Linked DNA regions of Nothobranchius furzeri. The protein of the gene in region 1 interacts with the protein of each later gene in a biochemical or structural test. Links are inferred from orthologs where the notes say so. Each region holds a gene or a part of one and is shown on either strand. Other genes may lie near its edges.

Region 1 (6,039 bases):
TTTGTGCGTGACACTGGTGGGAAATGGATCTTCTGCTGCTTTTTAGATTCCCAGATTCATCCACAAAACTCCAACAGGTGCTATTACTACCTTCTCAACCTTTTGAAATAATCATAGTTTGTGTTTTCCTTTGTTTTTTGTTTTTTTTTTAAACGGATGACCAGAACCCAGTTTTGTAAAACTATTCTGTTTGTTAAATTTGCCTGACGTGAGCCGGCTAGAGACCATAAGAGCCAGATATGTGAGCAGGTAACAGACCAGCATGCACTGGGGCGGGTCTGGTGTGATACATCAATAAACCACTTTCAGACTTCTGTTGCCTTTATGCACATGAATATTTATGTCCTTGAATAGAAAATGAATCACCATGGTGACACGTAATCAGTGTTTTCTCAGTTTGAGTGACTTTAACGTTTTTTGCTAGTGAACGCCTCCCCGCTCATGAGATCAGCAGACCAGGACCCAGCTGCTCTTCACATGAAGCACTTTTCTAGCTTTGGTTCCTGGATTGATGGGGTTGGCATGAATAATTCAGGCCTGCATTAAAGTGGAGGGAAACTGTGACTCATGGAGGAGGAAACGCTGAGTGTCCTTGTCCAGAGTCAGTAGCATTCAGGAACTGTGTGCTTATAACGTAATGGTCAGCTAATAGACATCTGCTTTGGCTGCCAGAGTTAAATCTGAAATCAATCCAACTATAGCTGACCTATTAGTCACTACAGGCCAAAAGCCGTGGAAGAACATTCCGCCGGTTTGTCTGCCGGCTCCCTGTGACCACACAGCACGCTGGAAGCTCAGGACATGGTGTCTATATATATAGATTTCCCCCTGCAGCTTTGGGGTCAGGAGCAGAGTTGGTCTGTGTATTTCCGGACAGACGTGCAACACGAAAGCCTGAAGGATGATGCTATGGAAGGAGAGAAAGAAGTGATGGAAACAGGTTCCATCCTACAGATGATCAGCTGGTGCAGAACAACATGAAAATAACCAGCATGGCTGGCTTCTTTCCGGCAGCTGAGCATCATTGACTGTTGTCAGTTCAGTTTAAGCCACGCCCACTTTACATGCACTAATGGGACGTTTAGTAAAATCCAATTGATCATTTGACTGAGTTCATTTATTTAGTTGTTAGCTGGCTGCATGTTATTTTATTAGATTTTGCTTAAAAAGCAAACAACAATTATGTGCAGGTAAGTAAACAGGACTTTCGTGATGCGCTTTTTGCATGGATGACCAAAAGATATAATTTAGCCACATAAATTCATTCTCAGACGTAGCTCAACTACACAGACCCATGTTGGTGTCACATCATGAAAAAAAAGACAAAAGAATATTTTTTGTTAATTTTATTTCCAAAAGCAGCTCAGTGACAAACAGGTACCTGAGGACACACGATTTTAATAATGACCACTGAGAAGCAACATCAACATTTACTTCAAATGAAAAAGCTAATTAAAAAGTAATAAAAAAAACCACAACAAGATTCATCTCCTCGAAGACGTTTGTGGATTAAAACAAAAAGCATGCATGCGTGTGCGTTGATGGCATCAGGGTGTATAGCGCTGCTATCTACTTCTGGGTCACGGCGGGTTTCTTCTCCACGGTGACGGGGATCGTGGTTTCGGTCGACTCGATGGCCATCAGAGGAGCCTCCACGGTCAGAATCCCCTCAGGGGAGAGAGAGGAGGTCACCTTCTCGAAAGTAGCGGTAGGAGGGAGGCTGGAGGAGGGGGGAGGAGACAGTGTTACACATTGTTGTAGTAGCAGAGGTGTGGCCACTAGGTGGCAGCAGACTTGTGGAGTTGAATAAACCAGATATGACTGACTAGGTGGCTGATAAGGCATTTCAGAACTCCAAACTTCAGCTTCAGATATACAGAATACATTTGACTGCATGCATTTTGCACAAACCTGCAGATTTTGAAAAAATAAAATAAAAGCTTACGTGTATTTCCTGGTGAAGCTCCTAGAAATGAAGCCGTGTTCATCCTTCCTCTCCTCGTGCTTTCCTGTGGAAACAACAGAAATTATTAAAAAAATAATTAATAAACAGCTAGTGATGTCATTCATCTCTTGTGCCATTCCGTGAGACTGAATCACACGCTTTGTTTATCTCTGTGCTCAGACCAGGTCCAGTCAACTGGACCGGATCCAGCAGTCCTTTTAAAGCTGCAGACACTGGGGAGTCACAGCAAACTGGAAGAACTGGGATCACGAGGGCGAGTCCGAGAGGGAGGAGGCCTCACATGCCACCAGTAAAAATGTAAACAAAAAGTAAAACTAAGCTGCTTCACAGGTATCTGTTGGCTTCTAGCCAGAATCCCACTCCCACCCATGTGAGGAAGAGGGGGAGGGGTCCTTTTCATCTGGAGACAATGACCTCAGTTAACCTGGATCCTGAATAAAAGATCCTGAATGTTTGCAGGTTACTTAAACACCTAGAGAAGAGAGAAAACTCACCAGAGATCTCCACAACACCATCCTTCATCTTCACCACCAGCTCCTCAGGTGAGAAGTGGTTGACGTCAAGGGACACCTTCCAGCTGTCCTGCGTCTGCTTGATCTCTGACACGCCACTGCCCATCTGCCTGGACAGGGCACGAGCCTGCTGGGCCAACATCTGTCCCGGGTACATGTGGCTGTGGGGCATCATGATGTCAGTGCCCAGGATGGAGGGCCTCAGGTAGCCGGGCCAGCGGGAGCTGGGGAACGTGGGAAAGTCCTCCAGCAGGGCCGGCATGCCGAAGATCTGGTCAAAGATCCGGCTGCTGTGGTGCCAGTCCCGGAGCGGATCCCAGCTGGGAGTGCGGGCCAGGGTGAAGGGAATATTTCTCTCAGCCATGCTTGCTGTGGTCGGGCAGAAGAAGTCTTCTCAAGTCTTTCAGAAAATGTTCTTCCAAGTTGATGCCTGACTCACATGCTGCAGAGCTTTTATACACGCTGGTCCCACCCCCCTAACGCCCTGCCCCCAGACCCACAAGCCCCCAACATGCCTACGGAAAGATCTAGAATCTATTTGTGTCTGTTGCAGCACGTGGAGGGCGGGTCTTGGTAACAGCTGCCCAGTGCAAACGTAAGAGCTCCCACCCCCACCCCTCCCATTCTGATCAGATCTGACTAGAAGCAACTGGAGGAAACCTGAAGAGCCGATGTGATCACAACATGCTGGGATACGATGCAAAAAGTAACACATAATACTCACCTGGGTTAACCCTCTGGAGGCAGGCATTGCAGGTTTGCAACAGTTACCTACCTGGTTACTCCACATATGTGTTTCATGAGCATTGTTTAACTCAGAGGTCGTCCTTCTATCAAAACTCATTTTGACCCAAACTGGGTTAAAAACTCCCAAGTTTCTTAGTGGATGACAGGAAACTGTTTAGTTTCATCAAAGTAGGAAAAAGTGAGCTAAAAACCAGACATGAAAACATCATTTTGGTTGCATTCGTTTCTCAGGGTCGTGGTTTTGCTCTAGTTTTAATACAGATGCACATTTACACACACAACGGTCTAGAAAGATGCGTCCAATAGAAAACATTTAGCAGAGTGTTGTAGAAACACCTGGAAGATGGGTTTAGGGTAAGCAAAGGGAGCATTTACACGTACGTGTTAGATCCTGCCTGGGAGACACTTTCAACTGTGAATCAATTCAACCCCTTCTTTTCGGGCTATCTACGCCAAAATACTAACTGTATTTTGATATCAAACTGGATTAAAAACATAGAAGACGTTCATTTTAGACCAAATGCATCTCAGTTTTAAACAAAATGCTGCTGGGTGTTGTCTTTGAGCAACCCTCTGGAGGCAGGCGTTGCAGATTTGCAACACTACTAAAACCTACCTACCTGGTTACTCCACATACACGTTTCATAAGCATTTTTAACTCAGAAGTATTCAGATATTTAGCTGGAAAAAAAAGAAAGAAAAACCAACAATTCCACCATTTTTCAACATGAGATGATTTTGTTTGAACATCTAGAATGAAAATGATCTAACTAATATAAACCCTTTCATGCATAAAGTTCAAAAACTTCTGAAAAGATTTTTAAAGAAAAACAAATGTTAACGTTCAAAATTTACATTTTTTAAAGAGCCACACATTTTCTTACATTATTATTATAGTATGTTATTAATGAAAACACTAGAGTCTAATGTGGTTGTATAAATAAAAGTTTACCATCAACATTCATATAAGCAAAAAACAGCTTTTAAATGGTGAAAATGAAGTTTTTTTTAAATCAGTAAACAAGGTTGTTTTTGCAGGAAAGACAGTAACAATTTAAATTGGAGCCAGTTTTTCTGTTTTGCATTAAAGGCCCTTTCTGGGAACGACCTCCAGGTGGTCAAACGGGCAATGCAGGAATTCATTTTCAAATGCAAACAACCGGAGCTTTCAGGTGGATGATCCACTCTGCATCTGAGAGACGCCAAACAGCAGGCAGCAGGGAAACTTCCATGCATGGATTAGGGTGAAAGGTCATTTGAGGATAAAGGGTCTGCAGGAAGGAAGGAAGGGGGGAGGGGTTGCTGCAAAGAACCTTTTTCTAGAAGATTCTTAAGCACAGTGCAGTGTTTTCCACGTGGTTCATTTTTGAACAGTTTTGTCACTTCCTGTTCAGAAAAGAGATATTTGAAAAACTTGCTTTTCAACGGTTTGAGGAAAATGCAAAGATGTTTATCTACTTTGATTAAATACATCCCAAATCAGCCTGAGAGGAAGTAAATGTGCTTTTATCCACATGGTAGTAGAATTAGACCATGATGCAAAGTTTCAGCTCCTTATCTGTAAAATTCACTGGTTTTTAAACGTTTTTGCTACTGTTGAGTTTCCCCAGTTCAATATAGAAGTATAGGAAATTGTTTAAGACTCTTATTTAAAATTTGTCCAGTTTCTATTTCACAAAGCTCTTGTCTGATCTGTTCACCCTTTAGTTCTGTGGCGCCAGATGGAGATCCATGCAGCAGATTTGACTGCGTTTGAGTCATTTTGTTGTGTACTGGCTGTGGCGGCCATATTTAGTCTGGTTAATCATACGAACGTGAATTCTGTAGGTTTCATTAAAATCCCTGTAGTCGTTTATGATAGTTTTCTAACAGACAAAAAAAATCAGATCAGTTGTAGAGGAGTCCCTAAAAAACAAGAATGCAGATTGGAGGTTGTTCTCTGCATTCTTGTTTTTTAGGGTGTGATTATGTGGGGTGCCATTTGTAAAGTCAAACAGTTTATAAACTTAACAGCAATATTTTGGATTATTTAGCCCATCAAAAAAACGGGAGTTCATTTACAAAAGTCACATTTTCACCATGTTATTCATACATTTATAAATGCTAAAGTTCTCAGCTAAATATCTTATTTACTAACCAAATATTTGATTTGGAGCTACATATTAAGTTTACAAATTAAATATTTAGCTCCAAATGATTTTTTTTTTCCAAAAAATTTTTAGGTCCCAGCTAAATATTTATTTTTGACTAAATTTAAATATTGATTTAGCAAATAAAAGTAGCTGGAATCTAAATATATATTTTTGAAGTTTAACATTTAAATATTTTTCAAATTAAATATTTAGTTAGTTAAGTAAATATCTAGTTTACAAGCAAAATTTTTAGGTCTGACCTAAATATTTAGCCTGTAAAATAAATATTTATCTCTAAATTAAATACTTAGCTCATGGTGGGCAAAATAACCCAGAATACTGCTATTAAATTATGACCTTTTGATGATGCGCAAACCTGCTTTGACTGGTTTTGTTTACCTGCTGGAAGACCAGAAACTTTTCTGAGTGGTCAGCAGGAGATTCGTTATCTTATTCATTATTCATGGAGGTCGACGTAAACTTGCGAGATCTGACTTCATTAACACCAAAATACACTGTTGTTCAGATCTGGTCTCTGTTGTCACCTGATTTAATTAGTGATAAACCAAACTTTTAAAATCTGAACAAAAATGTTCAGCAAAGTCCAGTCTAGAGTCTAATAAAATCTAATCCCAGCTGTAATCTAAAGTGTAATCTGATATATTTTCATGATCAAAGGCAG
Region 2 (6,254 bases), on another chromosome or scaffold:
CATCTTGGACCGATACATGACAGGATACCACAGAACAGCGCTACGCCCTCTGCTGTCCTGCCCTGGAAATGCTTTGCAACACTCTCCAGGAGACGGAGAAGTACGAGAGCAAAACGCTTCCGTCTATCCGTGCGTGTCTGTCGCTTGCGGAGCTGACGGAGAAGCATGAACCAGGCTTAACGTTCGTGAAGCACAGTTAGCCATCGTTCTAGTGGATCGTTCTGCACGAGGCCCAGAAGCGTAGTGATGCACCGCTGCACCAAATGTACACTTTTGAGGCTGTTTTTGTTTTATGTGCTACACTTCCAGAACCATCTAGCTCATCAGTTCAGATTGGGCCAGACAGGAAGTTAAACACAAAAGCTGTGTAATACATCCACAAACTTTCTAAATAAAAATCACTTGTAGAATTCGGGTTGCTTAACCAATAAAAAAATAAAAAATAAAACTCAGTCATTTCCTGTGAAACCTCCGTAGTCACGGTCCTTGCTCGTTATCGAGTGAACAGTCTAAATTATGCATGGATCGCTTTTGCTGCCATGTTAGGCCGGGGACACACTGGCCGCGGAAGCGCCGCGAAAATGGGACCGCCTTCATTCGGCGCCCTTGTTAAGCTATTCTATAGACCACATGGGCCGCCGAAGCGCCGCGAATCGCCTCGCGCCGGCGCGCGCCGGCGCTCCAGCCCGCGCCGTGCAGCGATCATTTCGGCGTTGGCTCTATTTTTTTCGCGAGCCGCGGGTGAATCGCGTCAATTCTGGCAGGAAGTCAAACGTAGACATAAGAGGCAGGCCGGTAAAGTTAACAAAATAAAGCATTTCAAAATAAAATTCCGCAATAGTCAAATGTGTTCGTAAACAGACACTGCAGAAAAACCACACGAACACGCACACACATACACACACATCGAACTTGTGTGCGTGTGTGACCACGTGAAGGGGGGAGTGGTTTTGGGTGTCTTTTCACCGGAGCAAACAGGACAGAGAGGCAGAAAGTCTGAGGCAAGCAGTTAGGATGGACGACTTTAAATGAATTATGGAAGTTGAGAAACACAAGGAGCTGTACGACCCCCCAAAAATATGATTGTTTACGTACCCATGTCGGAAGAAACTGCTAGGATACAGCTGCAGAATTGGAGCGGGTTCCAAGAGATTCAACTGGCAGAAACAACTCATACCATAGGTTCACACACACACGCGCGCGCGCACGCGCACAAACACTCAAACGTAGGAAAAGAGCTGAGAAAAGGCAGAGAGGAAATGGAGGACACCAAGTGTTTAAAAGAAAAACTACAGCTGAGCCGAGGCGCGCCTCGACTGGGGCGCGTCTGATCTGAACTGAGGAGCGGCGAGCAGCGGCCGAATTTCGTGAGCGATTCGCTTCTCGGCGCTTCGTGGCGCTTCCGCGGCCGGTGTGTCCCCGGCGTTACACCTGAAATGCTCCTGATGGGAAGGGAGCTTGTGAATAAAACAAGTCTATTACGCTACGCGCCTCTTACACATCCAGTGGAAAGCCGGGGTGAGACCTGAGATCTGCTGCATGTAAAGCCGGGCGTACCTGTACATTTTTTACACTCGTAGCACTCAGCTTCAGCTCAAACTGTACGACTTCCTCGCAGGGCAGATCTCACGAGTCGTGCGCTCACACTGCACGACCCAGTTCTCGCATGCGACCTGACTGCTCCCACTGTACGTCTGGTAGCAACACGTCGGCCCTAAAAATATGCTAAAAATAGCAGTTTTTACACAACACGTCAAACTTTTTTGTCTTGTTTTGCCTGTTGTCCTTCGGGAGTGCTGCAGGGGACACACAGGGATTTATGGGGGTTGGATGAGGAAAACGAAATAAAGAAAGTAAATCTGTGTTTTGTGATCAGTTTAATTTGACACGAACACGACAAACACGCTTTCTTGACAATCTTTGTGAGTAAAAAAAACGTGTAGAAACAAAAACGAACAGCGTGTGTTATTAGGGAAATAGCGAGCGGCGTTGATGCATGATTGCGCATGCGCCGTGTGCGGTTCTGGTACTTTTTGGGTCGCAGCTGCTCGCAGCGCCACTTCAACAGTGCGATACCCTCACGAGGGACGAGCGAAATTTTAAACACGCCAGAAGTCCGTGCGACCTCACGACTGCTGATCGGTAGCTGGTCACGTGGTGTTAATCGCCTCTCGTAACCCCCTGTACACTACACGACGCTCAGCGCAAAACTCGCCCCGATGTCGTGGATTCTCGCACGAGTGGAAAATCGGCTCAAAAAAGTGAAAAAGTCGCACAGTGTACGCCCGGCTTAAGATGCCGACTACCTAAACCTACAGTCAGGTCCATAAATATTGGGACATAACATTTTTGGCTCTATACACCACCGCGATGGATATCAGATGAAACGAACAAGATGTGCTTCAACTGCAGACTGTCAGCTTTTATTTGAGGTATTTACATCCAAATCAGGTGAACGGTGTAGGAATCAACAGTTTGCAAATGTGCCTAATGGGACAGAATAAGAACCATTAATCAAACGTATAAATTTCAATGCTTGGTTGCAAATCCTTTGCAGTCAATTACAGCCTGAAGTCTGGAACACGCAGACATCACCAGACGTTGGGTTCCATCCCTGGTGATGCTCTGCCAGGCCTCTACTGCAACAGTCTTCAGCTCCTGCTTGTTCCTGGGGCGTTTTCCCTTCAGTTTTGTCTTCAGCAACTGAAATGCACGCTCAATCAGATTCAGGTCAGGTGATTGACTTGGCCATTGCAGAACAGTCCACTTCTTTCCCTTCAAAAACTCTTAAGTTGCTTTTGCAGTATGCTTTGGGTCACTGTCCATCTGGACTGTGAAGCGCCGTCCAACGAGTTCTGAGGCATTTGGCTGAATATGAGCGGATGATGTTGCCCGAAACACTTCAGAATTCATCGTGCTGCTTTTGTCAGCAGTCACGTCATCAATAAATACAAGAGAACCAGTTCCACTGGTAGCCATACACGCCCACGCCATGACACTTCCAGCACCATGCTTCACTGATGAGGTGGGATGCTTCGGATCCGTCTCCAGACTCTTCTCTTCCCATCACTCTGGTACAAGTGGATCTTGGTCTCATCTGTCCGTAGGATGTTGTTCCAGAACTGTGAAGGCTTTTTTAGATGTTTGCAAACTCTAATCTGGCCTTCCTGTTTTTGGGGCTCACCCATGGTTTACATCTTGTGGTGAACCCTCAGTATTCACACTGGTGGAGTCTTCTCTTGATAGTTGACTTTAGCACAGACACACCTACCTCCTGGAGAGTGTTCTTGATCTGGCCAACTGTTGTGAAGGGTGTTTTCTTCACCAGGGAAAGGATTCTTCAGTCATCCACCACAGTAGTTTTCCGTGGTCTTCCGGGTCTTTTGGTGCTGCTGAGCTCATCGGTGCGTTCCTTCTTTTTGAGAATGTTCCAAACTGTTGTTTTGGCCACGCCTAATGTTTTTGCCATCTCTCTGATAGGTTTCTTTTGTTTTTTCAGCCTAATGATGGCTTGCTTCACTGATAGTGACAGCTCTTTGGATCTCATCGTGACAGCAACAGATTCCAAATGCAAATCGCACACCTGAAATGACCTCTGGACCTTTTATCTGCTCATTGTAATAGGAATAATGAGGGAAGAACACACACCTGGACATGGAACAGCAGAGAAGCCAATTGTCCCATTACTTTTGGTCCCTTAACAAGTGGGAGGCACATATGCAAACTGTTGGAATTCCTACACCGATCACCTGATTTGGATGTAATTACCGTCAAATAAAAGCTGACAGTCTGCAGTTAAAGCACATCTTGTTCGTTTCATCTGAGATCCATTGTGGTGGTGTATAGAGCCAAAAATGTTAGCATTGTGTCGACGTCCCAATATTTATGGACCTGACTATACTTCACACAACCCAAATCAGAAATACAAATCCGTCCTTTTCAGATTTTTTTCTGAAACCAAAGAAAAGAGGTACGGACCGTCCCAGCTGAGTCCATGCAGACCGTCTCTCAGCAGCTTACAGTCTCTGTTGATCCTCCAGGCTTCATGCATCACCTCATTCAGCTTCTCATCCTCGTTCTCTCCTGGAATAACATAAATATTCACCTCAGAGGATTCTGTCTATGCATTTCTGCTGTCAGCAAGATTTGGTATAATTCTGTAAACCCCATAAAAAATCACATTTTCTGTAGAAAATAACAATAGATGAGGCTAAACTGTGTTTAGAATGATGGACTTGCAGCAACTGACCAGCTTGTGGTAGTATGCACTGTGCAATAACATCCCTTAGCTTTTCAAGCGCTACGTTGGAGTCTTCCCCTCCATTTTCTGGGTCATGAATCAAGAAGCCATCAGTTGGTTTGGGCCTGCAACATCGAGAACCAAGAGCAAACATAAGCATAGGATTCCTAATAAGGACTTGTCTGAAATGAGACCGTAATCGTACAAAGCTACAGCGTCGGTGCAGCAATATGAACGTATTAATACACTGATCATACACGAGCAGTTTCCGCTTCCTGAGAATGGGGTTGTTGACGGAGTTTAGTGGCTTCAGGCTGACGCTCAGATCCTGAATTCTCATGTTGGCCAGCTGCTCTGCGTGTGCCTGCTGGATGCCCGCCACGACGGCCTGGAAAAACATCACAGACTCGCCATAACGTCCAGAGGAAACGGACAAAAGATTCGTCTGTGGTGTCAACGCGGTTCCAGCTCACCTTGTCCATCATCATCTGCGGGGACGGCAGCACGTTGTCGAGCGCCTCGGTGCAGTTCAACCACGGGTGAGCCAAGACTCCGTCGATGGTCAGCCTCTCCTCTGGCTTCACCTTCAGCAGCCTGCAGGCAGATGAAAGGCATTAACGTGAAGGTTTAATCAAAGCGGGTGTGGAAAACTGGAGATGAACAAAAACTAAAAAAATAAATAAATAAATAAAAACTTGTATTGAATGAAACCATTTTTCATGAGTAATGCGAGGTTTAAGTTTCCTACAGTTTCTTACTCTTTACCACTTGAACCATCACACTTACGACCAGTGTTGGGAAACTTACTTTTAAAAAGTAATTATAGTTACCAATTACTTTGTCAAAAATGTAACTCATTTACTGAGTTACGAGATTATAAAAGTAACTAATTACCAAGAAAAATAACTACTTAGTTACTTTTTTCATTAAAGAATGCTAGAAAAATGGGTTAAATGAACTTAATTTACTATAAATTACTACAGTAGCGAAATATAAATGACGAATGACTGGAACTTAATAAAATGTATGTCCAAATGTTTTTATAAACCTGAATAATTTCAATAAATGAGCACTTAACTGGAGGAACTACTAACAGGAACATTACACTTATGTAGACTATTAAAAGGTCACTGTGTGATATTTAACAAGACCCCAATCAGCTAAAATTTATAATTTGCAAATAGAAACACCTGTAAAGGTTCCCGAGCCTTTAAATGGTCTCTCAGTCTAGTTAAATTACAGACATGAATGTAATTTTGTACAGTATTTAAAATTTTCCAGCTTCACATAATTGTGTGTTTTTAGCAGCATTTCTGTTGCTGGTAATCTAGTAACGGTTAAATAAATAAATAAAATCCTTTAAAATGACACTAGAAGAGGCACAAGCCTGATGGAGGACTTGCATTTACTAACTTGGGTCAGACCCAACCACAGAAGAGCTGAAGCTGGATGGTAAACACACACAGGTAGTTCTGATAACACCTGAGCTCCATGACGTGTGAGACTGATGCATCAGTGTTACAGCGGGACTAAAGACATGATCAGAAACAGGTTACAGCTGGATGATCTAGGAAGGTAGAAGATCAGGACGTCTGAGAGGTGAACAGGTGAGCGGACCTTTGGGACGTCCCGCTGTCACGCTAAGAAGGGCGTAGACTATTCATCACGTCTTCCTCGTTCTTCACGGCCGTGATGCTCTTGGATGAAAACATCTACCTCTTTAGCTCCTGATCAGCTGATGACAGCTTCAACACACCGCGCTGCTTAACGCACGCATTTCCTTATCAGTAACAGAAACAAAGTTTGGATAAATGAAAGACGGTAATTAATTAGTTTGCTCGTTACTGAAAGAAATATTTTTTTTTTAGTAACGCGGTTATTATAAACGGCGTTATTCCCGTCGCTGCTCTGTTGTGTCTACAGAATGCAGCGACTGAGACAGTGAGGGTCTCCGCCCACCCGGCCAATCATCATCGTGTTTGTAAGTGCGTTACCGACACCTCTCTCTCCCTGG
Region 3 (6,254 bases), on another chromosome or scaffold:
ATCATTTTTTTCGGTGTTTCAGCCTTGGTTTCCTCATTTTCAGCCAAGAATTTTCATTTTGGTGCATCCCTATTCTGAACCCTATTTATGTTTGAATGTCTTCTCTGTGGAAGGTTTACTGGGAGGCAACTGGTGAATTTGGATCCTGTCTAGGGGATGATGTGGACGAACCTGATTGGCCAGGCCGTGCAGCGGACCAGCCAGACCGTTCATGGCAGCGCTGAAGGACAGGTAGGGATCAGACAGGGCGCTCCCCACTAGGTGGCTAGTGTGGGCGCTGACATTTCCTCCTTCATGATCGCTATTAAAACAAAAAGAGTTATTGGTAAATATTTACTAATCAAGTCAATGGTTTTCTATTCTTTCAGCAGTCCAAAGAAACCATCTAATCCTACATGAGCTCAGCTCTTTGTCCACTTTTAATCTACTCCATGCTTTTTAGTAAAAAACAGAAAACACTGGAAACTGACCTTTGTGTTTCAAAGATTTTGGACATTTCAGTAAAACATTCTTTATCCAAACTAAAAATGTGGCATAAACCAAGCTATTTGTTCACAACACTGTTAGTTTCACTCTTGTAAACAGGTCTTTTTGCTGCAGATATCGTGGTTGACATGAGGAAATACAGAAAAATAAACACCCAAAATTGGGTCACATTTCACTAGTGGGCCATTCCCATCTGTACCGGGTCGGCCCGGGCCGGGTAGCCCCAGTCGGCCCCAGCATGGCCCGGTTGATTCCACACAACCTTGCCTTAAGCCCATGTGGGCTGATTCTACCCACCAATCAGAGGCTTGCTCTAATGGAAGGTGTGAATTTGCTGTCAGCAGTGGGTGTGTTGGCCCTGGTCGGCCTGAAGCAGACCCCCTCGAGAAGAGGGCTGAGAATGAGCCTTGGTTGGCCCGGAAAAATACCAGGCCACCCAGACATGTAAACAACCTACGCTACCCGGCCCGGTACAGATGGGAATGGCCCATAGTAGTCAAGCTGATGGGGATGGCTTCAAACCGCATTCAGTTTAGAGATTAAATGACTGATATTATGGGTATAAGCCTGTCCTCACACCCGTTTGGGAGTGTGTGTGTGAATCTGAGATGCTACCTGTGGATAGTGAGGTAGAGTCTCATCAGCTCAGTGAACTGGGGCTCGCTGTAGCCCAGCATATTGGTGAAGTTGTGGGACCAGTCCAGGTTAGAGTCAATGGCTCCGATGCTGCTGCCTTCACGATAAAGATTGCGGTAAATCTTAGCAGCGATGCAGGGCAACTTGGCAATCAAGTCCATGGAGTCTTCGTAGACAAACTGGGAAAAACCAAAATAATAAAATTTCACCCAGTAGAACAGACTTTTCCTTCTCATGTTCGGTCACTGGCAGGACCGGATGTGTGTGTGTGCGACCTCACCTCCCAGTACTTGGACTTATGGACCCCCTCAGAGTAGGCCCGTGCAAAGCTGCTCTCGCTGTTTAGAGCTGTGATGGCGGCACTGAACTGGGACATGGGGTGCAGGTTTGTGGGGAAATTATCCAGCATGGTGACAACATGAGAGGGGAGTGCCGCTCTTTTCGCCCACTCTTTGGACACCCAGTTTACCTAGAAAAGGAGGGGTCAAGTTAAGGTCAAGCTAAGGGGTTGGAGGGGGGGTCCTTATTTGGCCACTTTATACAAGTACACATCTGTTAAAAGGGGCAAAAGTCATTTTTCTGTGAAATGTTACAATTAGCTAAGAAAAGTATGTTTATCACTTAATTACATATAAACACTTGCAACAAGATAAGCCGGCAGCAATAAAGTCCCAGCAGACGTCCTCTTGAGTCAGCTGTGACTACAGATCACATTACACTTATGTAGATAACCACGTGAAGTGTCCATGTTTTGGTGCTCCTAAAGTACAGGTCCTTCTAAAAAAATTTGCATATTGTGATGAAGTTCATTATTTTCTGTAATGTACTGATAAACATTAGACTTTCATATATATTAGATTCATTACACACAGCTGAAGTAGTTCAAGCCTTTTATCGTTTCTAATACTGATGATGTTGGCATACAGCTCATGAAAATCCAAATTTCAATCTCCAAAAACAATATATGAAAGTCTAATATTTATCAGTAAGTTACAGACAATAATGAACTTTATCACAATATGCCTTTTGTTTTTTATCAGAAGGACCTGTAAATGGTCTGTATTTGTGTAGCAACTTCTTAGGGTTCTACAACCCCCCAAGGCACTTCACAACACAATCTGTCATTCACCCATTCACACGCTGGTGGAGATGAGCTACGATGTAGCTACAGCTGCCATGGGGTGCAATGAGAGAGGTGAGGCTGCTGAACACTGGCGCCACCGGTCCGTACGAGCACCACTAGCAGGCAAGGCGGTTTAAGTGTCTTGCCAAAGGACACAACAGCAGCTTTCTCTGGTCCTGTCTTAGCTGTTGTTTGCTCTGAGCATGGTTCATTTAGAGATGTGATGCTACAGGCATCAGCCAGGTTAAAAGACAAGAGCTTGGACAGCAGTTGTGTGGATGAGACTGGTTCTAGCAGCTCAGATAAGCACGGGTTCCTACCAAGGTCTCTGAAAGGACAGGATGGAAATTTGAGGCAGTTCTGTAAACCAAACGGGTCCCAACTGGAACCTAATAAACAGGCCTGTGAGTGAATATTCAGGTGTGTAGACCTGTTTCCCACTACATGACATTACGGACTACTTTTAGAGCCCAGCATGTTTAGGTACCAGCTGCACCAGCCCCTCCAGTCTTCAGATGAGGGAAGTCTTGCATTTTAGACTTAAATGTTTGAAGTTAATCCTAATAGATTTAAAAATACGGTTTAAATTTGTAGAAAAGGGCTCAACCAATGTATGTTTGGATTAGCCTCCATGGCTACAGTGGGGCTAAAGTGTATTTAGCCTCCAATTGTGCAATTTCTCCCACTTAAAAAGACGAGGCCTGCAATTTTCCATCAAAGGTATATCTCACCTATAAGAGACAAAGAGAGAAAAAAAAATCCAGAAAATCACATTTGTCTGATTTTGAGGAATTTATTTGCAAATTATGGTGGAAAAATGAATATTTGGCAAGTAATGAAAGTCCATCTCAATGTGTTATCTACCCTTTGTTGGCAATGACAGAGGTTGAATATTTTTTGACCCCACGGGGTGAGATCTTGCATGGAGCCACTGATGGAGGGAGATTATCAGTGGTCTTGTACGTCTTCCCCTTCCTAATAATTGTTCCCACAGTTGATTTCTTCACACCAAGCTGCGTACCTATTGCAGATTCAGTCATCCCAGCCTGGTGCAGGACTACAATTCTGTTTCTCTTACAGAAGAAGTTACAGGTTTGTGAGAGCCAGAAATGTTGCTCGTTTATATGAGACCAAATACTTACTTTCCATCATAATTTGCAAATAAATTCTTTAAAAATCAGACAATGTGATTTTCTGGATATTTTTATTCCTCATAGTTGAGGTATACCCGTGATTAAATATAACAGGCCTCTCATCTATTTAAGTGGGAGAACCTGCACAATAGGAGGCTGACTAAATACTTTTTTGCACCAGTGTATCACGTATATAATTACAGCTTGAGCTGCAGTTATTAACGGTGAAGTGCTTTGAGCTTAAACACCAAGTCAAAAATAAACCCTGAAACGTAATCTACTCTTAACTTTTATAATCCTACATCATATTTGATACTCTGGTCACAAGCCTTTGTTTAAATTACATTCTTATTCAGACAGAATCACTATTACAGGGTATCTGCAGGTTTAAGGGAGTCAAATTTAAGACTTTTTAAGACCTTTTTAAGGCCACTTTGACCACATTTAAGCTACTTTTGAAATTAAATTTAAGCTATAATTTCTAGCTATTGCCTGGAACCGAGCAAAAGTGGGATTAACCATCCAGTTACCATCAAACTTGCACGTCCCCATGGCGCAAGCTCCCACTAGCTTAACCAGCTCATGTGCTCATCTAAAAATAGTCCCCTGTCACAACCAACTGAATGTGTACGGTTCTGCTTACGCCAACACCATACACAAAAAATGCTGAATACTAACTAGAAATTCAAAAAATTTAATAGAAACAAAACGATTTTGTTTATTGGGTCTTTGGTAATCTAAGACCTTTGGAAACTGTATTTAAGGATTATTTGTCATTTTTAAGGATTTTTAAGGCCTTAAATTTGGAAAAGCAAATTTAAGACGTTTTAAGACTTTTTAAGGACCTGCGGATACCCTGTATTATTCAACAGGAAGTAAAGGGAAGTCAAGAAATCCTCGTCTGAGATTCCAGGACTGACTGAGGCAAAAAGAACATCAGTTCACTCGTGTACCATCAATAATTTATTGTGATGCTCACCTGCTCCTCAGTGGGGACCTGTCCTGTGATCAGCAGCCAAAACAGGCCTTCAGGCAGGGGCTCCTCGCCTCCTGGAGCTTTGGGCAGCAACTTCTGACACTCTGGAATGCTGTAGCCCCTGAAGCGGATGCCCTGTGGGTTAACGGACAAGAGAAAAGGTCAAACAAATTATTTCATGTGGTTATCCAACGTTCTTTCACACTTTCCTGCAATGCTAAATAAAAAAGGAAACTTTAATACAAGCTCCAAGTAGGGATGGGCCGTACTGTATTGTTCACGATAATACCGGTAAAATCTTCTTGCCCGGGGAAAAGAAAAACCTGTCTCATTTCTGTGACTGTTGAACTCTGGACATGAACGCCATCACCCTGTTCTCTCCTGCTCAGCCCTCCATGCATTTTGAAGTTCTTAAACATCAGCTACCAAACTGGATAATACCTAATTCTGCACAAGAACAATGACATATTTTGTTATTCAAATAAAGAGGAGTAAGATCTTCCAAAAATCAGAGTTCTGCAGAACCTCAGAACTTTGTGACAAGTCAAACAGTAAAAATGTGACATCTGTGGTTACTGATCTGCTAAGTTTTCAATCATTCACTTGGGAATCATGCCGTTTTGATGTTAATATGGTTAGAATGGATATAAGGAATTCAGAATAAATTAAAAGAAATTGTACTATGTGAAACAAGTCACACAGATTTAGTAAGGATGTAGTAATATAGCAGAAGAGTCAGTAAATGAAAAACAACTGTACTCTGCCACTTCATCAGAATATTGTGAAATGTTATGGTTTTATTTTGAGGCCATGTCGCCCACCCCTAGCTCCAAGTGTCCTTCCTTGTGAAATGTGAAAACACAGACAAGACTCCCTGCTGACAGCTCTCACTTTAGGCTGAAAACTGTCGATTCAAGAGTCCTCCGAGAAGCTGTCAGAAGAGTTTAAAGCATCGACTAACGACACACAAACAAGAAATCTCTTCTTTCACTGGTTTATCTGCTAAATGCTGACAGATGGGACTCTTAAGCGAAAGGAAACTGAAATAACTTACATACACACGTAACTCTTAGTGATCTAAACTGTGTCGAAGGTCAGACTGTTGCTTTTGCAGGAAGACACAGGAGTGGCCAGTGAGTCGGTATACGTCATCAGCGTGACTGTAGCACTCACCTCCTCAGGGTCCAACACTGAGGTTTCATATACCAGACCCTTCATCCCTCTCATACCACCATAGACCTGTGGGAGGAACAGAGGAACTCTAAGCATTTTCTGGCCACAAAATATCTGCGACATTAAATTAACTTGCAGTAACAAGCCCACTACGCTGGAACCCCTTTAAAGCCTTAAAGTACACGACTGACTGATTTTACATACTGGTGTATATACTGGTCTGAGACTTGGTATGACCACAAGACTAAGAGGAATACATTTATTTTCAATACACATCAATATGATCCATTAGGCCTTATTGCAGTGCTGTGGATGTGTGAGCCCAGACCAGCCTGTTTCAGGTTTTCAGTGACTCAGCTGAAATTTTCTCTGTTGGCAGGAATCAGTTTATACGTGACCTCTGAGGGAGATGACCGTACAGTGATACCTGACACAGCCAACGAGCCTGGGCAGGCCTAAATGGATTACATGTAGCCAACTACCATGCCACAATTAGTCTTCGTCACAGCCTTTGGCCTCAATGCCCTTCCCTAGATTAATTCCCTTTTAACTTGGACTTGCATCTCCAATATTCTGCTCACTTCAGATTTACTCAACATAGCACTACTTACCATATCAACAGTAATCTGGCCTATGTTGGTTTTGCCATACTGCTGTTTGAAGTTTTTGATCCTGGTCTGTTCTTTGGGAATGAGGTCTGACAAAACATCCCTCAGATTCTGTGGAA
Region 4 (6,254 bases), on another chromosome or scaffold:
AAAGGAACAAGTATTACACAGTTACTTAATGAGAAATCCCTTTAAATAACACTCGTTATCTTAACTGTGCTTCTAAATGATAAAACATGCATTTGCTAGTGTGATTTAGCGCATTCCCTGTCAGAGAAAATTTTAAACTTTTCACTGCTGTTTGTAAAAGGTGCATTCATGAACCCAAATAAAAACACAAACATCAGATTTTTGATTTTTACATTGACTGATCACTGATTAAGACGTTAGTGTTAAATACTGGCCGATTCCGACCACCAGCTGATTTTTTCCCCCGCCCATCTCCAAAGTTCACGGATCTAAAATGAAACAAAAATGTATCAAATATTATTTTGTGCATTTTCTACTTTTGGGGCAAATAACTGTTATGTAAGCTGTTTGTAAAAACAATTACACACAACACTGAATTTACAAAGCAGGGATTTCCATCTGCACCTACTTCACACCAACATCTGTTCTCAAATGAAACTTGTCAGCAAATATGTCAGGATGTGACACAAAAACGGCCTCGCTCTGATCGATGGAGGACTCCGAGTGGACCACCACTGAGATCCAACATGGCTCCATCAGGGTGAATGTGTAATCCAGCTGCAGCCGCCCCCGTCAGCAGCGACACACCATGTGTCCTCTACTGTGGGGTCGCAGCGATGACAAAAACACAAAAGGAGACAGGAGCCTCAGAGCATAGCCCAGATAAATACTAGAAATCAGGCAGCTAATAGCCGCGATAACTCAAGAGCGTCGGAGAGGAAACATTCTGTTAAACAAACAGTGTGCTGTCTAATTGCTGCGTTCAGTCATCTGCACGGCTCATCGCAGGAACTTTCTCTGATGTGAAGATGGAGTGAACCAGGTTGCTCTGGGCACTTTTTTATTGTTCATTTCTGTCACACTGTGCAAAAGAGATGCAAACGGGGGGGTAGCATCCAATGCATTAATGTCAGCCAGTTTCATTAGTTTGCAGCAGTGACAGATACTGGTGAGACAATTTCCAGTGTTTCCATGTAAAAATTATACACAGAAGTTTTTAGTCATATTAAAGTGATAATTCCCTACCAGCTGTACATATTAAGGGGGGCACAAAAGGGTTTTGGTCATATTAGTACTATGTATGGTTGGGCGATTGGACAAACTTTTGATCATCAGTGATAGTCTCAGCCTTTCGCCGATCGATTCTTAAAAGCGATAATTTTTTTATGCCCGTGAGTTAATCTGGTGGAGGGGACATCACAAATTTCCACAACAAATCAGCATCTTTTTGCAACACTCTATGCACACTAGTGTTGTAAAAAAAATCGATACCTAGATATAAATCGATGCTAAAAGTGGTATCTAAATTAGATATTTCATCCCTGTGGCATCGATATTATGGACTATTATACACAGCCTTCTTCAAGTACACCGACACGCACGACAGCCAGATGCCGTAAAGCAGCCTCCGCCTCCCAGACAAACAGAAGAAGACGCCGCATGGCTACATTGCAATTTCCCACGCGAGTTGTCTCCGATCCAAGTTTTGTCTGCCAAATAAATAAACAAAAACATAAACAGTGAATTTGGGAGGCGCTTCACAGCCCAACTTAATTAGCATACCAAGTCCGACACGTAGTTGTATATTCACGCTTATGTGCTTAAAGGAAAACTCCCGTTTATTGCAACCCAGACTTAATTTCTAGCATGCAGTACGTTTGTTTACTCACGCTGACAACTTTGGTGCTACTTGGATTCCCCGGGGTATTTAGATCCATCAGCGAATCGCCATCAGTGTATATCCATATAACGGGTGCGGACGGGCACCCATGGTGCAGCCTCGAAATAAGACATTATCTGCACCAAAACACATCTCAATGTCGAAAGGTTTTGTTAGAAATCATTAACATGATTCCCCTGTTCGTTTGGAGCGGGTCTGGGATTTCTAGGCGTGAACAGACTAGCTGCGGCTAATTAACCGGCGCTTTTAATGACGTCACTGCCGTGCGCCAGTCTGTTTTTATTAAGATTACCGGTAGATGTACCTTTGTCCTACTGTGGAGAAATTCCTTTTCTCCCTTTATTGGCCAACAGAGTTGTTCAAAAGTACAGAACAAAACATATGGCATTACATCTTATGACAAAAATGCACCTTAAACAGAGTTTAAGCAGCAAAACATCACTCTGCAAATAGTGTATTCATAGTGAGACAATTCATGATTTAAAGTGTTAACTTTCACCAGTTTTTGTATGCACGTTTTAAAAAATGCTGATACTTGAAAGGTTTAAGCACTTAATACACTTAATTCTTAACATTTAATTTTTGCAATATAAATTGAGGAATGTTATTTTTCGAATAAACTTGCTCAATAAATTGGTGTTTTTAAATAGTATCGAAATCGAGCATCGAGTTATTTTTCAAGTATCGAATCAAGTTTGAAATTTTAGTATCGTGACAACCCTAATGCACACACACACATATGTACCTCATTAGAAAGCCAGGATGCTTGTGATTCCAGTCATGTATGCCAATCAAGGATATAACATAACAATAACTGCAGACACAGTAAATGCTTTCGTCAAGCTACTCTAGAATTAAAATAATGTCTAACTCATCGTCCGAAGGCTCGTATCACTGACGGAATAGAACCATCTTGAACAAAAATGCTCTTTAATGCAATTCAATTCAAGTTTATTTATATAGCGCCAAATCACGACGAGTCGTCTCAAGGCACTTCATATAATAAACATTCCGATCCAGGTCAGTTCATTAAGCCAATCAGAAAAAAGTTTCCTATATAAAGGAACCCAGCAAATTGCATCAAGTCACCGACTAGTGTCAGTGACTTGATGCAATCCTCATACTAAGCAAGCATGCAGCAACAGTGGAGAGGAAAACTCCCTTTTAACAGGAAGAAACCTCCAGAGAATCCTGGCTCAGTATAAGCAGCCATCCTCCACGACTCACTGGGGATCGAGAAGACAGAGCAGGCACAAGGGTCCAATAAAAGCACTCCATAGACTCGTCAACAAGTCACCCAACATAATATATGGCTGGAAACACTAAAATTTCCTTCAGATGCATCTCTTCGGCAGCCTCATATCAGCTTCAAACCTCTGAGCGACATCCTATTTGATGCAATAGGTGAAGGGCAAACGCTTCAACTCCTGGCCAATAGGTCAGATGTGCCACCCCCTACTCTCACTTGTGTAGCTTGGAAATTTTACGGCACAGTATATTGTTGACTGAAGCATCAAATGGGGCCAAGGAAATTCTAAAAACTAAAATTCCGAGCATGACAACAGACAGGTGAGTGGTGGTTCTATGCTAATTCCTGCAATTGTGATGTCACAAACGGAGACTTTTTGAATCAACTTGTTTTATGCATACAATTCCTAAACCAAAAAGTGACCAAAACAGATGGAAAGCTGTTTTCCATGTTTTGAGTGTTTACAGGTAGTACAGAACCAACTAGCAGCACAGAAAGTTTCATTTGAATTACATACCCCAATTAAACAACTGGCAATGCGTTACTTTTCTCTGATTTTAGGCCATCAGCTAACTTTTTTATGCATCTCTTTAAAACCAATTCCCTTAACTCTGGGACAATATAAACATGTTACTTCAGTGTATTTAAATAGATTCATTTTTACCACATCGTGTGAAAGCCTTAACTATCACATGATGTTATCAAGTCCAGTTTCCACGTAAACATCCTCAATACCATGATTTCAAAATGTAACCCAAACTCTTGGCTTTCTAAATCAATTTAGACTCAATGCAGCAAATTGGCTGTTTTTAAGTTTATTGAGGACTGATGCACACAAAAAATATACATTTTGAACTTGAAGTTATGTAATCATTGTGCATTCCTTTTGAAATCCAGAAAAGAATCCAGGGAATCCTGGAAAGCCCTGGGTAAGCTACAATCTGCTGCATTCTCCAAGTGGCTTTGTGCATCCTGTGTTTAGAGTTCCTGAGGTTAACAAATAGCTAAACTGAAACCACACTTTAAAAACACTAGTTATGCACTCAATGTGGCAATGATGAGCAGGGGAAAAAAAAACCTTATCAGCTGAACAGACTCTTAGAAAAAAGGTGCAAAACACTGAGTATTTTGTCCTAGATGTAGTATTTATACATTAGCGTCGATAACGGATTTATTGTGACAGTTTGAGGAAATGCATTCAGGACATCTAGGAGGGCTCGCCACGAAAGCAAACCAAAATCAATAGTCTTTTTACTCTCGATTCCCTTTCAGTAAGGATATTATTAGGCTTTTAGACACAGTTTCCCCCAGAATACAAAGGGTTTAAACTATATTTTACAAACAGGACACATCTGAGAACAAGTATGTGAAAGTACTTCTAACAACAAAGCAAGTAAAAAGAAGAAAAGCATCAAACTGGAGGGTAGAACAAGCTGCCAAGACACAGAGAAGAGGGGGTTTCTTTGGAGCAGACACTCACGTGCTACAGAGAAGTTATTTAAGGGGGTTTCCAGCTGGTCAACATCTTGTGGTCGCTCTTTGTATCCGATAAATGTACCGTCACTCTTGAGGAGAAAATACCTTGGCCTCCAGGTTTTGATGTATTCTCCTGATTTGACAAAACAGGAAACAAAAAACAGTTAAGTGATGAAAGATGAGGAAAAAAAAGTTGCATTTTAGAATCTCCGCTGCTTACTCAGGAGTTTGTTTTGTTTTCCCAAAATGATAAGTGCAACAGTTTTGTGATTTTATGATCAACAACAAACAGGTTGTTCCCTTTAACACGTTTGCAGTTACAGTGGTGCTCATTCTTGTTATCTATGACACAAAGGCTGAATTTAGCAAACATCTGGACACATTTTTTCTGCATTTTCATTATTCTATGATGCACTCTGGTTAAAATACTACAGAAACCATGAAAAATCCCCCTTTGACTCATGATTTCATAACTTTGTAATACGAGACCCTAATGTAGGTAAAAACAAGGTGCATGGATATAAAAAAGGTTTTAGAAAAAATTAAACTAAAAAATCAAATGTAAACATGGATTTAATGTTAGAGCTGTGGCGTTACTCATACACCAATAAAATATCCGCAAAAGCCAATAAGTTTTGATTTCCACACTAGACAGACCATGAATGAATCATGAATATAAGTTGAATGGAAAAAAAAGAGAGAAGGCAGCTGAATATGATTTAATCCAATAAATCATTTCCTAAATCCTCAATTAGATTTTAACACTTTGCTAGTCTTTTAGACACCTGCTATAACCTCAAGCCATGCATGTCAGTCTCAATCAGACTGTACGCGCATCCCACCATTGAATCTCTCTGAAGGCAGACAAAACTCAATTTATTTCAGTGATGCTTCAGGACATGTTCTGCCAGATGTTGCCCAGACGCGGGGGGGGGGGGGGGGGGGGGGGGAGCTTACATACCATAACAAGGCAATGGCACACGGTGATGTGGAACTTGAATATTTATACAGGAAAACTGTAATTTATTTTTAATTACGGAGCTGCATATTAACCCCCTGCAGAGCATCACCAAGCTGTCCGTAATTGCTCCATTTCCTCCAACACAGGAGTGTGGCATTTTGTGTGCAGGAGAGCGCGTGTACAGAGATGTAGAAGATCTGTCAATATGAGCTTCTGTTGCCCTCTTCAAACACACTTCTGATTGATGAAACGGAGAACAAATCAGACGGTAGAAAACAAACAGCAGCTAATGGTGTGGTGGTGTGCTTTTCCTGCTTTTTCTGTACTTCGCTTAGAAATGATGTTGGAAGGACATTCGGCAGAGATAACTGCGGTGTGGCTTTGCTGGACAAAACTAAAAGATACTGAGTGAAAAATACACATTATTCAAATAAAGTTGCATGAGGATGGTTTCCAAACATCTACATTTGAGATATACCCTCAGAAATTTGGTTGATGATTGGAATCGGCCAATATTCCACACCCTGGGCGATGCGGACCAAAACCTATATCCCCGTAGTTTTTTTAGCTGAGTATCATCTGTTGATGCAAGCACTACAGCAGGTCTGCAGAAGGTGATGGAAGCATGCTCATTTTCTCAAATTTTGGTTGAAAGCTACAGAGAGAAAATAGGTGTGATTGGCTAGCAACAAAAATGGAGCAGACCGAAAAGCATCTAGCACAAGAAGTCCAACGATAAACATTTATACAACCCATCAATGAAGAAGTAAAATGATGTCCAAGCAGCCTTTAATAATTACAGGAAATGTTGGTCTGGAGCTGTTCGACTGCACCAAAAGGAGGAGACA
Region 5 (6,782 bases), on another chromosome or scaffold:
CTGTGAGAGATGGCGGAACAAGAAGAAATACGGAAGAAAAATAGAAGCGACAATACTGAAGAGAAACCCTGGACAAATACCTCACGAGTATGGGAGCACTTCACTCTAGATGCTATGAAAAGACGGGTGACCTGCAAAATATGCAAAAACCATCTAGCATGGCACGGAAGCACGACGTCCCTAAGTGAACATTGGAGACGAAAACGTGGGGGCAAATGCAGCAGAGGAAACGCCAGCCCGGTAAGTAACAGAAAATAAACAAGCTAAATATAGTGGTCCATCACTACACGCAGATCAAATTTGGGACTTAGTGCTTTAGCTGAGTTCGTTATAGTGGATGTTAAACATGTTTTTTTTGCTGTGTCAGTCTACGGTGTTCTACTTCTGATTGACTAGATGCAATCGTGAATCTCCTCCGTGTTGTGAATCATGCGCTTGCCAAATTTAGCACGTCTGTTTATAAGAATGTTCTCGTTAAGAGAAAAACGGCACAAACCCATAACTATGTTCCTCATTCTAAAATGGTCAACTCCGCGGTGAAAAATATGCAGACGAGCTGTGTCCAGGTGAATATAACGCGGCATAGTTGTACGTTTTCAATTTTTAAATACAGGAGAAATTCAGAAAGTCTTTTTTTTTTACTATTAAAAGGCTGTTTTACTATCTAACACTGTAAAACGCCTCACAACACATTTTTGTCAAAATAAATGATCACTGTATATTGTTAATTCAAATAATATAATATTGATTTAGTGTTGTAGTGTGTGTGCTGCTTTATTTTATATGTGTACTTATTTCAGTCTATTTGTGTTTCTCATGCAGAAAAAAAAACAAGCAACGATGGACAACTACATGGGGAACAAGACACTCACCCCCCAGCAATGCATACCACTTACAAACTCTATTCTAGATTCTACATTATTTTTTATGGAATTTACCTCTTATATTTTGATGCCAAAAAATTATTCTGGACTGATATTTTGCACTGTTTAGCTCATTTTACACTGCTGACTGTGTTCGTGTGCAATAAAATAGATTGCAGTCAACTGCACAACTCTGTTTTTCTTTTTCTTAACTGAAATGTATTCATCATTGTTCTCCTGCCAGATGAGATGATGGTTACAGGTGTGAGGATGCACCTTCTGTTATAGCCAAGACTGAACACTTTTCCTGATATCCAAGTGGTTGTCTGACTTTATAGATCAAAATGACAGATTTATGTTATGTTAAGTTATTCATTGCCAAACCAAAGCCTATTGTTGCACAACACCACATATAAGTATTTCTTCTCTCTCACGCAGCAAGATGAAGTTGATGAAATGGAGGAAGAGGAGGAAAACAACCCCCCTGCACCTAACCCCAAGCAATCCAGTGCTTTGGAGTCTCTCCTTGGGGAAGACTACAGACCAAGAGAGGAGAGGGGGCATGCAAAGAAAACTTGTGCAGAGGTGGCAGAAGATGAGATCAAGAGGTACAGGGCGAGGAAACCTGCAGGACTGCAGGACAATCCTCTGGTCTGGTGGAGAGAGAATGAAAAAGTATCCTCTTTTGGCTCGCATGGCTAAGCGATATCTCTGTGTCTTTGGGACCAGTGTCGTATCTGAGAGGGTTTTTTCAACTGCAGGTGATATAATTACTGCAAAAAGAAGCTGTCTCACCCCTGGTCATGTGAATCAGTTACTTTTCCTGCAGAAGAATCTTACCATTCGCAAGTGATGTACATAAGGACAGTTTACACAGTCTGTCTTTAGTCAAGTTTATGTTCCTGTTCTATTTTGTTTGTACATCAATATGGAATGCCTTTCAGTTTTCACAAGTTTACATTTTTGTACTTTATCGGCATTTGAATGTTTCTGGATACCTGAAGTGTTTAAGTTTTTGCACAAGACTGTGAAACAGTTGTTTAAGGTTCTGTACCTTTTAATTTCTATTTGCACAAAGTAAAACGAAAGCAGTTAATTTTGAGCTTTCTGTTTCTGTTTACATTTGCACTGGCAAATAATGTCTTTTGTCATATGGTAAAACTTATTTGAATAAAAATGGCATTTGCTTTCAACAGCAATATCTTTTGGCTGAATTCCTAACGTCTGAATTTAATAATGTCCTAGAAAACACTGGAAACACTTGACATCATTAATTACCTTTCTCAGTGGCCTAGTGGTAGAGGGTCCGCCCTGAGACTGGGAGATCAGGGGTTCGATTCCAGGTCGGGTCATACCAAAGACTTTGAAAAAATGAGACCCAATGCCTCCCTGCTTGACACTCAGCATTAAGGGATTGGATTGGGGGGTTAAACCACCAAATAGTTCCCGAGCGCGGCTGTGTCTGCAGCTCACCCCATCCCCCAGGGGATGGGTCAAATGCGGAGAACAAATTTTGCACACACACCTGTGTGTGTGACAACTAATGGGACTTTATTATTTATTTATTATTATTATTACATTCTGTGAGAGGGACTGATCTTTACAACCATGTTTAATGGCCAATATTTCATTAATTTATCACTGAATGTCAATATTATCAATACACTGCACAACTATGCAGTCATGGAATTAAGGTAACTGCAAAAATGTTTTTAAATTGATGACCCGAATCGAATCGATATCGGATCAGAATCGATCAGGTTACATAGTGATAATCGATTCTAAATCTCAAGAATCGGAGTCGACTCGATTCTGGAAATTTGAATCGATACCCAGCACTACTAAATATCTACGTTTTATTTTTTTTAAGTTCGCCATTATCCGTCACAGCTAGGTGGAAATGCTATTTTATATAATTAAATTATATTAATGTTAACACATTTGTAGCAAAATTTATAAAAATATACCAAAATGGGAGGTCTTCTCAAAGGGAACAGTGCTGTTCATAAGGGCAACTCCTACTCATGTTTGCCATTTTCCTGCATCAACACATCCGACTCAGTGTTTGAATTATTTGTTAAGCATGTCTTCAAGTTCTGTAGAATCTTGTTAATCAGTCAATGATTACCATCTGGAGCACACAAAAGTGTAAGACATGCTAGATAGTTGGGCTGCAAGAACCAGAGTTGGACACCACTGGATTAGGGTGTGTTTATGTGTTATTTTCTAAATCTGTATCCTCTACTGCCACTTCAAGTGGTGTTACCTTCAATAACCAGTTCATGCACACTGTTGTTTCCAGCTGTAACTCACCTTTAGGGCGTATTTATCACCGGTGCTCTTCTGGTAGATTTCCAACACCTTTCCATTGATGCCCAGCCCCAACACCTGGTTGGTTATCTTGTAGTCTTCTGTGATGGCGTTCTTCTTGATTTGTAGGTTGGATTTCGAAATGAAGGGGGCAAACTGACCCGGAGGGTTCTGTTGCCCGCTTGGGTTCTGCTGGCCCGCTGGGTTCGGAAACCGTGGCTGGTTCTGAGGGTTACTTAGCATGTTCATGTTCTGGGCTTAGAGATAATCAGTCGCCACCACTCAACAACACCGCTCCGTCGTTTCCCTTTGAACACAAATTGGGTCTTCCCGACTTAGCTGGTGACCGAACACCGTAAGAGACTAAGGCCCGGAGACAAGCCGACAGTAATATTAAAATTACAGATTAACAAAGTTACTTGGTAATCCGAAAAATATCAGATAAGCTATTTTTAGCATGCTAGCTCGAGCCTATTCTATGACCTATGATTCCCGGCTAACAACTAAGCTAACTGTTAGCTTATCCATCTCCGGTAGTGTCCGCCTTCCACCGGTTCCTCAAAAAATCGAAGAGACGAAAACGCTTCAGGAACTTATTAAAACACCCTTCAAGTCGCTTAAAATGTTGTGTTACGCTACTAAAATCAAGAAATCTCACAATTCGGCTTTGAAAATACCAAAACCACCTAGTAAAATAACGTGAAATGAGAGGAAAAGTCCGACCAAGCTAACGCGACAAACACACTTCACTTTTCGGTGGACAGGGTTTACTCATGACGTCATGGCAGTTTTTTTTTTGTGTTGTTCTTAAAGGAGAAGTACCACAGAGGAAATGACCGGATTATCTGGCTCGCTGATAATCGCCAGAGAATCATAAAGTAAACCACGTTTTATATGTTTGTTGAGTTTGATTGTTTGGATTGTATTCAGTACATAAACAAGGGGACGTCCACACGGCCACTAACAGCGTTTAAAGAGCAACAGCGAGGGACCAAAATAGACGCAGACTAGTCTGTGAGAGGAGAGGAACAGGTTACCTCAAGGTTAGGGCTTTTCTGTTTCCACATCACTGTTTCACATCAAAATGAATTCAACTCATTAATCCGGTTTCAGTTTTCTAGTTGGGAAGACGCACTGCTACCAAACAAATGTTAATGGGATAATTTAAGCCCTCTGAAGTGGGAATGAGCATTTAGGGTAGACCCAAATAAAGGATCGGCCCAATAAGGAATTAGGCACTGAACACTCATTTATAATTTTATATATTTTTTCTTTTTTATTTTTTAACAGTCGATTTAAAACCACACGCATACATGACAAACATTTCTTACTTTTATTATCTCCACTGGGAGATTATTGGTGTCAAAACTTAATTGATAAACATGTTTTTCTTAAAGTAAATTGTCCTGAAGACAAGATTGTTTGATTTGTGGTACTTAAATAATATTCATTTAAAGTCAATAGTTTGATTCAGTTTTTAAATGAGAGTTTGGGACGTGTAGCAGTGTCGTTTAGAATTGCACTTAGATCATTCAGTATTTTTCATTTAGATTCCTCTTCATGAAATTACACTTTAGGATAAAGAGAACACGAAATGAACTGATCAGATATATTAGTAAAACATTTACACAAATGTAGGTGTGTCTGTGTGTGTGTGTGTGTGCGCGCGCGCGCGTGTGTGTGCGTGTGTGTGTGTGTGTGTCCTCATAATCACACTAAGTGCTAAAATGAAGCGTACAATTCCAGTACTGGTGGGACTTCCAGCTTATAAAGTAATTATCTCATCAACACAATAAGACTTTTTTATTTTCCCTCATCCAGTCCCTATCTAATCTGATTTAATAAACTGTTCTTTTTTTCTCATTGATAAACAGATGTTTGAATAGTTAGTGCTTGTCAAGTCTAAACTCTAAAAACATTAATTTATAACAATAAGCATAAAACACAATTATATTAACAGAGAATTAAAAACATGTTTGAATCACCAATGAATTCATTATAAACTCTTAGCTTTGTATTTTCGTCTTGATTGTTTAAATGTATTTGCAGAACCTCATTTCACCACTAGATGGCAGCATAATCTTGATATTCAATAGGCAACCTTGTCGTTGGGCATTTTTATTTCCGCAACAGAAGTGCTGAGGCATGAAAAGTGTCCTGTGTTCCCAACTGAAATGATTCAGTGTGTCAGGTAAAGTTTCTGTAGGTTGAACTTTGAATGTACAAACCTGACATTTGTTTGTTTGTTTTGCCTTGTATGCATGTGATGTGCTCCAGTGCACATTTTCCAAGTTATTCAAAAACGATAACAAAGAATTGTGAATAAATTGTACATTTACACACTCTTGAACGAAGTTATTTATTAATGGATTAGAGAGACTGGGACTTATCTCACACATTTTAGTCTATTTATTAATGAAGTAACGTTTTAGAATTCTTTAAAATAGACAAAAGGTTATAATCTGTATGTTTTATCTATGAGTCTAAGGTGTTGTAGTTTTCTTTAAGGAGGCCCTGCAATAAAGGACAAATTTTGGCTGATTACGTTTTTCAACTAGCCTAGAAACCTAGACAAACCAACAGTTGCAAAAGATTTGCTCAGCAGGTTGGTCAGGCCATGCTTCATGGTAGTCTCAGCAGCAGATCAACTATTTGTCTGAGCAGTTTTGTTTCTTGCCAATCACAGTGCTCCATGTTTGTTGGATCTGGCTTAGCACCATAGCTGCAACCGATAAACTACAGCGATGGTATTGACTCAGGAATGAGGCTTGTTTGAAATGGCTTTGGCATCAACTTTCGACTTCTTTGACGATGTAAGGCGGACTGCACCACTGACTGATTTCCAAACAAATAAACACATCAGGTTGTTTGTTTCTTCAACTGGTCATAGCACTGCCTAATTGTGTGTAGTTACAGTTTGACAGACAACCATAGATTATGCCCCATGACCCACTGTCCTTTTGAGTGGCTCTTCAAGGACAGAGGATTGTTGAGCAGGGTTGGTGGTTTGTCCCATGGGGTCCATGTTGCAGTGGTGAGGTGGGGCTCATTCAACAAAAATCGAAAAAACACGTCAAGTCCATTGGACTCCATCGGGGTGAGGATTAGGTTCTTTCCATGGTTAATGGCCGGACAATATATTTACATTTATAGGATGGCTTTTCAGGCTATCTCTCAATTTTTAAGCTTCTAAAAAGATCCTAAAAAAATAAATAAACAAATTTAAGGATTTCACCAAGCACCTTATTACCACAGGATATATAATAAGTCATGTGCTTAATTCAAAGTACAAGGACAGCTTCTCCATATAGAAAAATGTGGCTGGCACAGAGAGAACCCTGTACTTTTGTTAAGAATGCATTTCACTGCAATTACCTTGAGTTATGTAAGAGGAGTGGCACACATGCCCTCAAGATCACCATACGTACACACGCAGTACAGTTGCAGATGCTTTCTACATATCTACACATGTATAAATATAGACACGCACATTGAATACACCAGAGAAGGGAGTTTTAACAGGTTTGTTAGGGACAGAGTGTGTTCTGACGACTTCTCCACAGGCATTACAAGAAAATGCGTCATAGGCCCACGCAGTGTGGTTTTATC

Evidence for each region.
Region 2: of the proteins of hspb1 (region 1) and mapkapk5, one has a biochemical effect on the other in vitro, tested with the Homo sapiens proteins (4 studies listed by BioGRID and IntAct). The link is inferred for Nothobranchius furzeri from reciprocal best matches to the Homo sapiens genes HSPB1 and MAPKAPK5.
Region 3: the proteins of hspb1 (region 1) and cs form a complex in vitro, tested with the Homo sapiens proteins (2 studies listed by BioGRID). The link is inferred for Nothobranchius furzeri from reciprocal best matches to the Homo sapiens genes HSPB1 and CS.
Region 4: the proteins of hspb1 (region 1) and akt1 form a complex in vitro, tested with the Homo sapiens proteins (3 studies listed by BioGRID, with this or other methods). The link is inferred for Nothobranchius furzeri from reciprocal best matches to the Homo sapiens genes HSPB1 and AKT1.
Region 5: of the proteins of hspb1 (region 1) and mapkapk2a, one has a biochemical effect on the other in vitro, tested with the Homo sapiens proteins (17 studies listed by BioGRID and IntAct, with this or other methods). The link is inferred for Nothobranchius furzeri from reciprocal best matches to the Homo sapiens genes HSPB1 and MAPKAPK2.

Annotation. Positions count from the first base shown.
Region 1 is NC_091750.1:66,229,909-66,235,947, reverse strand, and holds hspb1 (heat shock protein beta-1), read right to left. Parts: upstream 2,933-6,039; 5' UTR 2,843-2,932; coding exon 2,461-2,842; intron 2,010-2,460; coding exon 1,946-2,009; intron 1,721-1,945; coding exon 1,570-1,720; 3' UTR 1,332-1,569; downstream 1-1,331. UniProt on the Homo sapiens protein: Small heat shock protein which functions as a molecular chaperone probably maintaining denatured proteins in a folding-competent state. Plays a role in stress resistance and actin organization.
Region 2 is NC_091757.1:53,481,900-53,488,153, forward strand, and holds part of mapkapk5 (MAP kinase-activated protein kinase 5), read right to left. Parts: intron 4,835-6,254; coding exon 4,714-4,834; intron 4,629-4,713; coding exon 4,498-4,628; intron 4,366-4,497; coding exon 4,250-4,365; intron 4,084-4,249; coding exon 3,979-4,083; intron 1-3,978. UniProt on the Homo sapiens protein: Tumor suppressor serine/threonine-protein kinase involved in mTORC1 signaling and post-transcriptional regulation. Phosphorylates FOXO3, ERK3/MAPK6, ERK4/MAPK4, HSP27/HSPB1, p53/TP53 and RHEB.
Region 3 is NC_091755.1:37,199,832-37,206,085, forward strand, and holds part of cs (citrate synthase, mitochondrial), read right to left. Parts: intron 6,247-6,254; coding exon 6,139-6,246; intron 5,594-6,138; coding exon 5,528-5,593; intron 4,490-5,527; coding exon 4,358-4,489; intron 1,592-4,357; coding exon 1,403-1,591; intron 1,302-1,402; coding exon 1,102-1,301; intron 302-1,101; coding exon 172-301; intron 1-171. UniProt on the Homo sapiens protein: Key enzyme of the Krebs tricarboxylic acid cycle which catalyzes the synthesis of citrate from acetyl coenzyme A and oxaloacetate.
Region 4 is NC_091758.1:33,915,790-33,922,043, forward strand, and holds part of akt1 (RAC-alpha serine/threonine-protein kinase), read right to left. Parts: intron 4,579-6,254; coding exon 4,450-4,578; intron 1-4,449. UniProt on the Homo sapiens protein: AKT1 is one of 3 closely related serine/threonine-protein kinases (AKT1, AKT2 and AKT3) called the AKT kinase, and which regulate many processes including metabolism, proliferation, cell survival, growth and angiogenesis.
Region 5 is NC_091743.1:50,981,119-50,987,900, forward strand, and holds the start of mapkapk2a (MAP kinase-activated protein kinase 2), read right to left. Parts: upstream 3,655-6,782; 5' UTR 3,423-3,654; coding exon 3,177-3,422; intron 1-3,176. UniProt on the Homo sapiens protein: Stress-activated serine/threonine-protein kinase involved in cytokine production, endocytosis, reorganization of the cytoskeleton, cell migration, cell cycle control, chromatin remodeling, DNA damage response and transcriptional regulation.